2 linked regions of the Daphnia pulex genome follow. The protein of the gene in region 1 interacts with the protein of each later gene in a pairwise test. Links are inferred from orthologs where the notes say so. Each region holds a gene or a part of one and is shown on either strand. Other genes may lie near its edges.

What was found.
Region 2: the proteins of serine/threonine-protein kinase fused-like (region 1) and E3 ubiquitin-protein ligase SMURF1-like interact in binary tests that used the Drosophila melanogaster proteins (3 or more experiments, as listed by UniProt). The link is inferred for Daphnia pulex from reciprocal best matches to the Drosophila melanogaster genes fu and Smurf.

Annotation. Positions count from the first base shown.
Region 1 is NC_060025.1:6,991,624-6,997,339, forward strand, and holds the start of serine/threonine-protein kinase fused-like, read right to left. Parts: upstream 3,616-5,716; 5' UTR 3,096-3,615; coding exon 2,985-3,095; intron 2,921-2,984; coding exon 2,807-2,920; intron 2,733-2,806; coding exon 2,410-2,732; intron 2,343-2,409; coding exon 2,101-2,342; intron 2,027-2,100; coding exon 1,924-2,026; intron 1,855-1,923; coding exon 1,729-1,854; intron 1,653-1,728; coding exon 1,373-1,652; intron 1,306-1,372; coding exon 923-1,305; intron 810-922; coding exon 700-809; intron 587-699; coding exon 404-586; intron 317-403; coding exon 232-316; intron 105-231; coding exon 11-104; intron 1-10. Other genes in the region: E3 ubiquitin-protein ligase lubel-like, read left to right, coding at 4,856-4,861, 5,041-5,206, 5,300-5,460, 5,526-5,672. UniProt on the Drosophila melanogaster protein: Probable serine/threonine-protein kinase; maternally required for correct patterning in the posterior part of each embryonic metamere. May be involved in control of cell division during metamorphosis and ovarian development. May interact with costal-2.
Region 2 is NC_060027.1:2,522,918-2,528,762, forward strand, and holds the start of E3 ubiquitin-protein ligase SMURF1-like, read right to left. Parts: upstream 3,398-5,845; 5' UTR 3,148-3,397; coding exon 3,093-3,147; intron 2,790-3,092; coding exon 2,642-2,789; intron 2,572-2,641; coding exon 2,438-2,571; intron 2,365-2,437; coding exon 2,131-2,364; intron 2,064-2,130; coding exon 1,430-2,063; intron 1,368-1,429; coding exon 1,076-1,367; intron 999-1,075; coding exon 780-998; intron 627-779; coding exon 448-626; intron 370-447; coding exon 232-369; intron 1-231. Other genes in the region: cleavage and polyadenylation specificity factor subunit 4-like, read left to right, coding at 4,096-4,162, 4,242-4,286, 4,356-4,559, 4,622-4,747, 4,808-4,871, 4,938-5,038, 5,111-5,250, 5,325-5,353 and 1 more; uncharacterized protein LOC124207999, read right to left, coding at 5,634-5,845. UniProt on the Drosophila melanogaster protein: E3 ubiquitin-protein ligase which accepts ubiquitin from an E2 ubiquitin-conjugating enzyme in the form of a thioester and then directly transfers the ubiquitin to targeted substrates.

The sequences.
Region 1 (5,716 bases):
GGGTACAGACCTGCCTGACCCGAGGATCGCTATCTGCTAGCAATTGCTCCACGCGCTCGACGACGACAGGCTGTCTGCTCAATTCCTTGAGCTTGTCAGTGCCCCTGGGCGAAACGAGGCGAGAAAGAAAACAAGAGAATAGGAACATCATTCACGCTGTTTGCTGCAGCTGACGTCATGGGAAAAAGCTGTTGTATTTTTATTGTATTTCTTTTTTTCTTTTTCTCTTACCTGAGAGACAGGTATCCTATGAGCGTACAACACCTGGACCTAATCATGGGGTTTCGATTCGACAACAAACGCACCAAATTTGTGTCTGTCATGTCGCACAAGGGTAGAAAGAGATGGTGAGATTAGCCGTTCATTTTCTTATTTTTCAAGGCAATTGTGTGAAATGTAATACCTCTTTGAGTGAGAATATCTTGGACGACGCTAACGTTCTCGGCTCGAGTGCGCAGGACGTGCGACAGGATGGCCAGAACGTGGCCGACTGCATGGGCTTTGCGACGATCGACAGACAACAGGTGATGAATGGCGGCCGCGCAATCCAGCACGCAAACAGCATCGCAGAATTGATTGATGAATTCTGTTGTGAATTCAATCGGGGGGAAAAAAAGGGAAGGAATAGAAAATTAAAATAATGATTAGCCACCCCCACTTTCGTTTCCAGTTACACAAGAGCTCGCGATGAGTGATTACCTGCGGTCGTACTCAGGTGCACCAGACGGGCCATCAAACCCAGCAGCATTTCTAAGGACTGCAGATCGTCGGCCGTCAATTCGGCGTCCGTCTTTTTACTGTCGATGCTCCTGTTTTTGGGCACAACCCAAAAAAAAAAGAAAAATAGAAAACGAAATGAAATCACATGGGAGAATGAGAAATGGAATTTAGACTGTGACAAATAAACAAAAAGAGGAGTTACCCGGTGCTACGGTTATCGCCAGATCTTCTCTGAACCATTACTTTGCAAGCGTACAAGAGATTGGGCACGACGCGGGTGTCTGCGTAGGCGCGGACGATTAATTCTTCGTCGACTGATTCCTCGCGGTCGATTCCAGCCCAAGGCAGGGCCAGCAGAGTCGCTATACGTTCGACTAGGCTCGGGCTGGCGTTGACGTTGCGTAACGGAGCCACCACAACGGCGACGAGATCCCTCTGCTCCAGCGTCTGCGGATTCTCTATGGCGTCGGCCAGCGTTCCGTCAAGAAACTCTTCCCATTCGTCGTTTTCCAGAGATTTCGACAGCAACGAACCGGCGGCGGCGGTTGCGGCGGCCGCAACTTCGCCAGTTGTCGTTTCCTTGGCCTAGAATGAATCAATCATCATTTGGTCAATCCTTTCTTCTATGATAGGACTGCACATCGATTTTTACCTCCGTTTTGGGCTCGATGGAAGGTGAAACAGTTTCTTCGACAGTCGGCTGGTTGTTTGGCGGGTTGGGCACGGCTGGCTGAATGAGGGAGAAATGATGAGCGTTGGTGCCAGGATCGAGGGGATCGAAATCGGCCACATTTTGTTTGGTCGGCCATCTGGTCGTTTCTAAAATTCTTTCCAGCAATTGCTGCCTCTCACTGATCCGTGGATCGATGGCAGGCGGTAAACGGTGGGTGTCGACGGCTGCACTTTGGCGACGCGTCCAGTCTCCAAATGCACTATTCGACCAAAATGATAAAGTTTTAAATTTAAAAAAAAACGCGACTTTTAGAAATTCTGTTTAAAGTGACGTACGGATTGTATTGGGTGCTGTGGAAGGCGGCGGCGGGATGGGCCAGCAATTGTTTGGGCTGAGAAACTGGAGCGCTATTTCGGCGTCGTTCGTACTCTTCTAATCTCTGAAGGGCTCGCGTGAAAACCCTTGTAAAAGAACAACCAATAAATTTCAGTTAAAGGATTGGATAAAATAATCAGCACGACAATGTTCACTTGTTTTTGAACGGCATCTTTTGGGAGAGATCTTGTCTTTGAATCTCTTTGGCCAGTTCCTGCGAAGCCGTCAAGGCAGTCGTTAAGGGAAGCTGAGGTCTCACTAGAGAGAAGGTAAAGAGGGAATCAGTGAAATTTGTTACCTTTACCAGAAAAGGAACATTGTATTGAACATACGTCTTTCAGGTGGGAGCAGAACTTTGTTCTCCAGGAAAGGATGCTCGAGCAAGTGAGGCCAAGTTAGCCTGCGGCGAGGATCTTTCTCCAAGAGACCTTGAAGGAGGTTGAAACAATCTGGGCTCAGATTTGTGGGCCAAGGCACGGTTTCGTAACGAATTTTTCGTATTAGTTGCAATAAAGATGTGGTGCAAAAGGGTGGCGATCCAAAAAGGAGCTCATACAAAATGCAACCTAAGGACCTGTTGTAAAAATGAAGGGTAAATCAACAAATCTTTGAAGAGACAATATCTGCAATAAAAAATGTACCATAAATCTGCATTATGATCGTATGGCTTTTCCTCTATGATTTCTGGGGCCATGTACAATGGAGTTCCTTTGACAGATGTTAGCACATAAGTGTTGAGGTCCATGGATCTTGCAAATCCAAAATCGCAAAGTTTAATGATGCCATCACTTGTCAGCAGTATATTCTGAGGTTTGATGTCACGGTGTAATATCCTGTCTGAATGAAGGTAGTAGAGAGCAGATAGCAACTGGCAAGCAACCATTCGCATTTTGTCTTCACAGAGTGTCCCATCTTCCAGTAGTTTGTACAAGTCACTTTCAACATACTCAGTGACAACAACTAGCTGGATGGAGAAATAAATCGTTAATAATCAACACACAAAACTACAACAAATAAATTGTGAAATTTCTTGATTACCTCTTTAAATGTCTCAAAGGCACCAAGCATGTGAACAATGTTTGGGTGACGCAAGCCTTTCTGGATTTCAAACTCGTGTCTCAAGCTTTGCAGCTCACATTCTGTCCTACCAATCTACAAACGCAAAGTATAGAATTTGTTACAATGAAATGGAAAGGAATTTATTTATAACACTTACTTTTGGAATAAACTTGAGAGCAACCAAACCTCTCAAGTGTCTATGTCTTGCTTTGTAAACTCTTCCAAAAGATCCTTCTCCAATTTTTTCTAATACCTCATAGTCTTCCATTTCAACGCACTTTCAACTCGGATTTATTAGATAATTTGAATGTTAAGAAACCACAATAAAGCAGTGTCACTTCTTTTACCGCTGTTAAGAAATGGATATAATTGTAGTGATCATTACGATTCTTGGATTTTAATCAGAAATGAATTGTCTATAAACAAAAGAAGCCATCTAGCGAAGCTTAGACTAACAATATTCCCATGTAAATATCTGGATCAGAGATGGCGCTGTATTTTCGAATAAGGCCAACTGGCAAGGTGATGAAAATGATTCCCGAGCCAGATAGACATGATTAAATCTGACGAAGTGGTGAACATATAACACAGGGATAACAATGATATATTTATAAGAAAATTCCATAAGAGTATAAATAACTAAACAAGCCAGTGCGCTGTGCACTGGACCAAAAAGTGCAAAAGCCGCGAAAAGCAGTAAAAGAGACAGTACGCACGCGGTATGCTACACGCCCTACGAAGGTGGAAGATATATGGGCGTGAAGAGAATTTAAAAAAAAAAAAAAAAAAAAAACACACAACAAAGACCGGTAAAACAACCGGAAATGAATGTGTTGAAAATTTACGTTATTCCCATCACCGAGATGGTACAAATCTATCGATTCCCTATTTTTTTAAAAAACATATTTTATTTAGCTACAAGAGTGTAAAGATAAGAGTAAACAAAGAATTAAATATAGAAGATGAATAATTCCGGTAGGTATTTAATCAAGATTAAACTTTTGAAATGCTTTGCATGGACAAATGAGGTGTAGCTAATGATTTGGATATCGTTGTTGATAAATATTTGGTAGCAGAATAGTCTCTGACGACGGAGGTGGCTTCCTATAACCGTGGCAATGACGCGCCGGCAGTCAGAGTTGGAAACCTTGAATGCCAAGCTATTTTTGACTTTCTTCCAGAGGAATATATAAAGTTTAAATCCGTGACGTCTGAGAGAAAGGCCAGCTGCATTCAAACACGGCACACACAATAAGCGCGAGTGTTGATTTTGTTCCTGCGAAACTACATCTCGAGAACTCGGATGGGTTTTTGATTCGGTAAATTGACAAGGAAGTATTCAGTTCATTCAACTCTAGGCAATTGAAATAGTTGCATGCTCAGGCAAAAAAACAAACTTGTTATTATTTACGATACGTTAATCTAGTAAAAACTTTATTTATTTTGTTTCATATTTTCTGATAGTTTACTGTAATCTACTGAACGATTACTAGCTATTATAGTACACCTCAGTTGATAAAACTTTTTTTTTTTTGTTTGCACGGGTGTTTACATGATGTTATTTACCATTAAAATCCCGTTGGCTACACCTTCCGAATGCCTTCCAATGAAGGCCAAATCTATTCATGCATGTCTAGATTGATTCTCACTGACGCGCTGGCGGTGTCTCACGGGGGAGAACTGCCCCGGTACAGGGAAGATACGACCAGCAGGACGAGCTCGACGATATTTTTGGGATTTTGCTTTTTGTCAGGGGGTGCCGTGTGAATCGCTGGCAGATTGCCGACAATTCCAGCGGCCCATTCCTATCCTGTTTGTCGCACTGCTTTGCTCTTTGGTGTCTATTCCGGCGGGGCGAACGGACATCATCATCGCACAGTGCGGCGTGCGGTCCGCCTTTTCCATCTCTCCGGGAGTTTATATACGATTTTTCAGTCGATTTTTGAGTGTGGGGATCGTTTTATCCGTTTCCGCAATTGGCTATCTCGTGTCGAATCTATCCCATGTCTCCTGTGAGTGTCAAATGAAATGAGGGTACGTCAACGCTATTATTTACTACTTCAGACCACCAGCATCAGTTATACTTTTGATTGCGATGCGAAACAACTAAACCAATTCTTTGCAATCAATTTTGTGTCAGTTTTTATGGGGGAAGTTGGTGTTGGTTAATTTTTTGAAATTAATTTTGTTTCTATGCTGTGGGAATTATTTAGCAAATTACGCCGGCTAGTTCCGAAAATAAATCTGCATCTGCTACCAACGACGCTGCATCTGCTGAACCACCTCCATTACCCACAACCCAACCACCGCCCTTGGAGGACGAATACGAAGACATAGAATACGGGACTGGGCATAAAGCTACGTTCTCAATTCGATTTGGTACAATTTATTTTTATTTTTGTATGCACAAAATGGTTAGCTCAAACGAAAAGCTATTAATCATCCACTTTGGTATTTTCCAACACGTTGTAGGTGGAAAAATGGAGCCGAGAAAAGGCGATGGACGTCACTGTGAACTTTGTGGATCCTCAAGTCCAAAAGTTCGGTGTGAGAAATGTCTCAACCAAATATTTTGCTTATCCTGCGATGACATGTATCATCGACACCCTAAAAGAATGAATCATTCTAGAAAAGTACTTCCATATTTTGAAAAATACCCTCAATGTTATAGATAACGAAAGAATTCGTCTTTTCACAGGCGCTGGATTGTATAGTCCCGACAGTTAGACCACCACTGCCACCCAAAAATGCCGATTCTTCAATTCCTCCACCACTACCCCCACCACGTAACAAAGGAAAGAAAGGCCCATTTTCTACCCCATTATTGAGCCGAAAAGATTTTTCGGTAAGTTGTTGCTTTTTACGTCAAAAACAATGTTGTTTTGCTTG
Region 2 (5,845 bases), on another chromosome or scaffold:
AAGAAACAACAAAAAACGTGAAAATAAAAAAAAGAGCCAAATACGGTCTTGACCGCGGGACAGTAGTCTTGTCCGTTAGGTCGGCCGCGCCCACATCATGATAATCAAGAAGGAAGGGGGGGGGGAGAACAACAAGAAAGAAGAAAGCTGGGAACTGATACGCCCCATAATGTTTGCTAGTTGTCATTTTTAATGAGTGTGGAAAAGAAAAAAAGAGTTGTGAGGCCATACCGCACGTATTCCCGTTTGTTCTCCTCGGAGACGATCAAATCACGGCCGTCGGGCTTGAGGTCGTGGACTTGAATGGCGCCGTAAGCATTGTGCTCGACCGAGAAAGTCGTGTCGATCACTCCGGTTATGTCACTTTCACTGCGGATCAAAAGAGAAAAGAAAAAGATTTCAGTCAATGAAACGGAATTAATTTTTTGAAAGAAAGAAATCACGTACAGCATCCAAGTCAAGGAGCGGTGGAGCTCGGGATCGACGTGAGTGATGTCATCGAGAACGATGGCTTTGTTGAGGAGCATTTTGTAAAAAGGTAAGGTGAAGCCACCGTCCAAATGGTGGCCGTGGAAGACGGCCAAGCCCATGATCCGGCCGACAAAGTGGAAGTAGGACAAGTGCTCCTGTGCAATTCCCCCACCCCGCCAAAAAGAAAAATAAAGAAAAATAACCATGAATCATCTCATTTTCCATTCCGGCAGCGCATGAGTAATCACTTATTTGTCAAACAAACAAACAAACAAACGAAAGAAAAATAAACAATGGCCATCCATTACCGGATTGACGCTGCTGTCGGGGTTGACGTGCAACGTGTAGTTATCTTCGCGTGAGTAACAGAAAAGACCGTAGTACGGGTTGAGCATCTGCTGCGAGAGGAGGTGAAGCCACTCGCGGGCAACGCCGCCGTAATCCAGCCCTTCCTCGCCGCGGAATTTCACCATCAATCTTTTGCGGAGATCCTTCGGGCGCAACTTCATGATGCTCCGATACGACTCCTGAATGACAATCAATCAATTATTCCCGTTAGTTTTCAATTCAATTCAATTCAATCAAAATCAAAAGTTGGCAAAACCTCGAAAATTTCAGTCCGAGAGACTTCCAGCCGGCAGTGTCCGGATTGCGGTTGCATCGTCTGCAATTCCGTCCGCAGGATTTTAATTTTGGCGACCAGGTCGCGCTTGTAACGCGGCAGAGCCTCTTCCTGTTTCTCGTCCGGCAGGGGAGTGGCCATCGGGGGTGGGGCGGACGTCGAATTGGCCACAGGCGCCGCGCAGGCCCCATTCTCCGACGTGGCGACGGCGTTGGGTGGTGGCAGGGTCGGTTGAGGTTGCGACGGGGCTGCACGATGGTCTGACCGGTGGAGACTGGAAAAAATTCACGTGATTAAAAAAAAAGGACGTCAATTTTATTATTTGAAATAATTTACTTGAGGAGATTTTGCAAGGCCAGTCCCGTAGAGAGACGAGGGTCGGTGAATTGCGTCGTCCGGTTATTGTGGTCCACGAAATAAATCCTGCCCGAAGGAGTGTGACGCATTTCCCAGCCAGGGGGCAGAGCGCCGGGCATGGGAAGATCGCGGAGGTCTCGTGGGATTCGCGGATCGTACCACGTACTGATGCCGGTCGTCACGTGATAAAAGTAAACCTGACCCTGGCCGGTTTTACGCATTTCGTAGCCATCCGGCAAATCGTTGGCCAAGGGCCGTCTCGACTGCTGTTGCTGTTGCTGCTGCTGGGTTGATGGCTGTTGTTGTTGTTGTTGCGGTTGCCGATGGCGGACAGATCGTCTTCTGAAAGACGATCCGGAAGAGTTGGACGACGACACCGCATCCAGACTGTGACTTTGTTGAACCGGAACCGCTGGATGTCGCTTATCACGTTCTCTGCTACTGTGACTGCGTCTGCTTTCTCGACCATTGCTGGCCGAAACTGAGCTGCCGCCGCTGCTGCTGGCCTGAGCCCCGCTGCTACTCTCCACGATGGGCCTGGTCCATTGACTACTTCTCGATTCCGGATTCACGTAATACCTACGGCCACTGGATGTCCTCCTTTCCTCCCAACCTGCCCATTATGAAGACATTTGTCAATAAAATTTTCAAAGTCATCAAGTTGTTGTTGTTTAATTTACCCTGCGGAAGGGGAGAGGTGACTGAAGCCGTGGCAGCTTCTTGAATGCCTGCAGGTGACGCAGGGCTGGCAACATTTCCCAGAGCGTCCACAACGGTTTGGACGACGGGAGTTGCACTGTTCTCGTGACAGCTTGACGAATTGTGCTGTTCTCTAGACAGCAAGGAAATAACTATTTGTCCCTTCACTTGATCGGTGTCGTTGGCGTTCGCGCGCGTCAAGTCAAGACGTTGATCTGAAAAACAAACAAACAAAGAGACGAAGAATTTAGAGGTGGACATTCACAAGACAGAATTATTTGGCATTACATCCTGTGTCTTTCAGGCGTTGAATGGCATTGGACATGATTCGAACACAACCAAGGAATCCGCCACCTTCCTTCTTGTGAATCTTCTTGTGGTTCCAAACACTGATGGTTATCGCATCTGACTTGCCAATGTACCTGTGGGAAAAGAGAGAAAAAACAGTCAGGCGTTGAAGAGTTGAATTGTCTGGTGGTGATGATGACTTACAGGTCAAAGTGCTGGTTCCACTTTGGGTCCAACGAAGACTTGCAGGTGTCTGTGCTGTGACATTGGCCCGATCCCTCAACACTGACTTTGGCAAATGGGTCAGGCAAACGGAACAGATCCTTCTTTGCGAGATTCTTGGCGCACAGTACTGGTGGTTTGAGAGAGACAGAAAGAGATAAACATCAATAAGACACGGTCATACCATCAAGACTTGTTATTTCATTACTAATCCTCTCCCCTCCATCTCAACCCACCCCTGGGGGCAAGAGGAAGTTTACCCTTTCTACAAAGACAGGAAACAGGGTATCAGATAAAATAAAGCCTGGAATGAGAGAAAACCAGCCCAGGAATGTTGCTTCACCGAGGAGGAATCAATGAAAATTCCGTTTGTGGCACACGATTGAAAAATTGGCCCAACATCAAAACAAAAGAGAAAATAAAAAACACTTACTTGTGAGTCGAATCTTAATGGCCCCATTTCTCCTATTGATCCCTGTGTGGGACATTGCTGGCGAACAGGCAAACTCTCCTCCCAATCGTAACACAGAACTGAGATTACACTTCAGACATCGAGAATAATAAAAAGTCACGTGCGGCTTAAACCATGCATTTAAGTAAGTCTAAATATATAACAAGAACAGAAATCCTTTGTCAAAATCAATTTGTTTTGCAGTCCAAAACGGGACTCGGTACACTTTTTAGGCAGCCATGTCAGCGAGCAATGGAAAACTGGCCCTCTAGCGGAACCACCAGGCAGCTACTGTAAATAATAAGCAGAGGCGAAACGCAATAAAATCAAAACAAGCAAACTTCTGTCTCGTGATTCTCGACCTTGTTTGTTTGTTTTGACCAAACAACGAAATTCCTTCCTCACCCTCGAATTCTCTGAAATAATTCCAAGTCTAGCGATTTACTTGAGAAATGAGAAGAATTACAGATAAGCTTATCTTTGCGGTTTTTTCGTCTAGTGAGCGGAGCTCGGCGTTCTTTCTGTAGCACTAGCAGTATTGTTCTATTAAGATAATTTTTGAAAAGACAATTGCTGATATTTCAATTCATTTGAATAGTAAACCTTTACACAAAGACACGAGTCCGAATAAGTGCAATCTGTGCAATGATGTGTAGGCCTAGATGACCGCACACAAAATCAATTGCCATCCTCATTTCTTTGCGGTACTGTTTACTAAACTTTAAAAGCTAAAAATTCCCATTACATAAAAAGCTGAATTCCGATCTACAAAATTTCTAAATTTAGTTTTGTTATGAAACGTTCTAAAAGCGTAAAAGAATATAACTAAAGATGCCGTTTAGTCTCACCTGCGGTAGCCCGGCTACCCTTCCTCTAAATTTGTGTCAAAAGCAAAATAAGCAAAAGTTGGTGTACATGTTGCTTGGTGCATGGGTAAATTAAATCGTTTTCAGCAGGAATTTTACTATAACTATTAAAATTAAAAATGGGCACCATGGATACCGTAATGGCGCCTATTGCCAATATCAAATTTGATATTGAAGTTGCCTTGGGTAAGAGAGAATCAAGATCTGATATCATCACCATATTTCAATTTGAATGAAACTAATGAACCAATATTTGTATTTATAGAGCAACAGCTGGGAGCCCAAAATCTCCCATTTCCCGGAATGGACAGTAAGTGAATTAAATGCATGTGCACATGGTTTCGACTTCTAATAATGTTTGGGTCTTTTAATTCTTCAGAATCAACGGCAATGGTGTGCACTCTATTCACTAAAGGTCAATGCCAGAGAGCAAGTTTTTGCCCATACAGACACCTCAGAGCAGACCGGACAATTGTATGTAAACATTGGCTCAGAGGACTATGCAAGAAAGGAGATCAGTGTGAATTTCTCCATGAATTTGATATGGCTAAGATGCCAGAGTGTTATTTCTACGCCAGATTCAGTGAGTTCCATATCTAGAGTTGATTTGATAAAACAGTTTTAATGTTTTTTTCTTTCTCCCAGGTGCTTGTCACAACAAAGAATGCCCTTTCTTACACATTGACCCTGAAACAAAGATCAAAGATTGCCCTTGGTATGATCGTGGTTTCTGCCGTCACGGACCGACTTGCCGACACCGTCATGTTCGACGTAATAACATTTTTATCGTTTCGTGAAAGAATCATTTTAAATATTGCTTTAATGTTTCAGGTGTGCTCTGCATGAACTACACAGCAGGCTTCTGTCCCGACGGCCCCGAATGCAAATTCGTCCAGTAAGAACAAAATAACTCGTAATATTATTGTCAGTTGGTGAAAATAACTGTGAATTTCTTTCTTAGTCCGAGATTTGAATTACCTCCACTTCCAGATGATATCAAGGGTGACAAGAGAAAGATGCCTCTAGTCTGCCATTTCTGTGGAGAAGTGGGACATAAAGCTGGTAAGAATCCTAACCTTGAATTACATAATACAAGTTTTTCGTCCCAAATTGATTTCATTTTGTTTTTCGTAGCTCAATGTCCGAAAATTCCATCAGAATCTAAGGACATTTACCGCACGCCCGCCGATGCCTCTACTCATGCAAATAACGCTTCCCAAGCCCAGAGAGATCGAACGAATTTGAGACCTTTAGATGAAGTCACCTGTTATAGAGTAAAAGAATTTATTTGTTCACATTCGCGATTTTTGAAATTACCCTTATTCACTTATCTTTTTGTTGTTAATAGTGTGGACTGCGCGGCCACTATGCAAATCGGTAAGATGAATTTATATTAATGAATTAGTCGTTTTGGGGCATTTCAATGTAATATCACTCATGCTGTAATTTTTATTTCAAACAGGTGTAACAAAGGACATCTGGCTTTCTTGAGTAACCAGCCAACAGAAGAAAGAAGTTAACGAAAATTACATTCATTTCCAACACTGTCTCTGTCCATTCAATAAATACAATTTTGAAATCTCTCTAAAAAAAAAGGAGTCAGAACACTAGTATATAATTATTTTTAGTAGTAGAACGGTTTTTGTGTGAGGAATCTTTAGATGTAGGTAGGGGCATTTGTGAGTGAGGTGGAGCAGGCAGCACATTTCTCTGCTTCTGGTGCGTTCACCAAAGTGCAATTGGAGCATTCACGTCCTCCGCGGAACAGAGGCTGGCTCTCAGGGCCCTTGTGTCTCGACTTGGAACACATGTCGCAAATTTCTCGATCGTCGGGATTCAGAAAAGTGCAAAACAGGCACTCCCATCCAT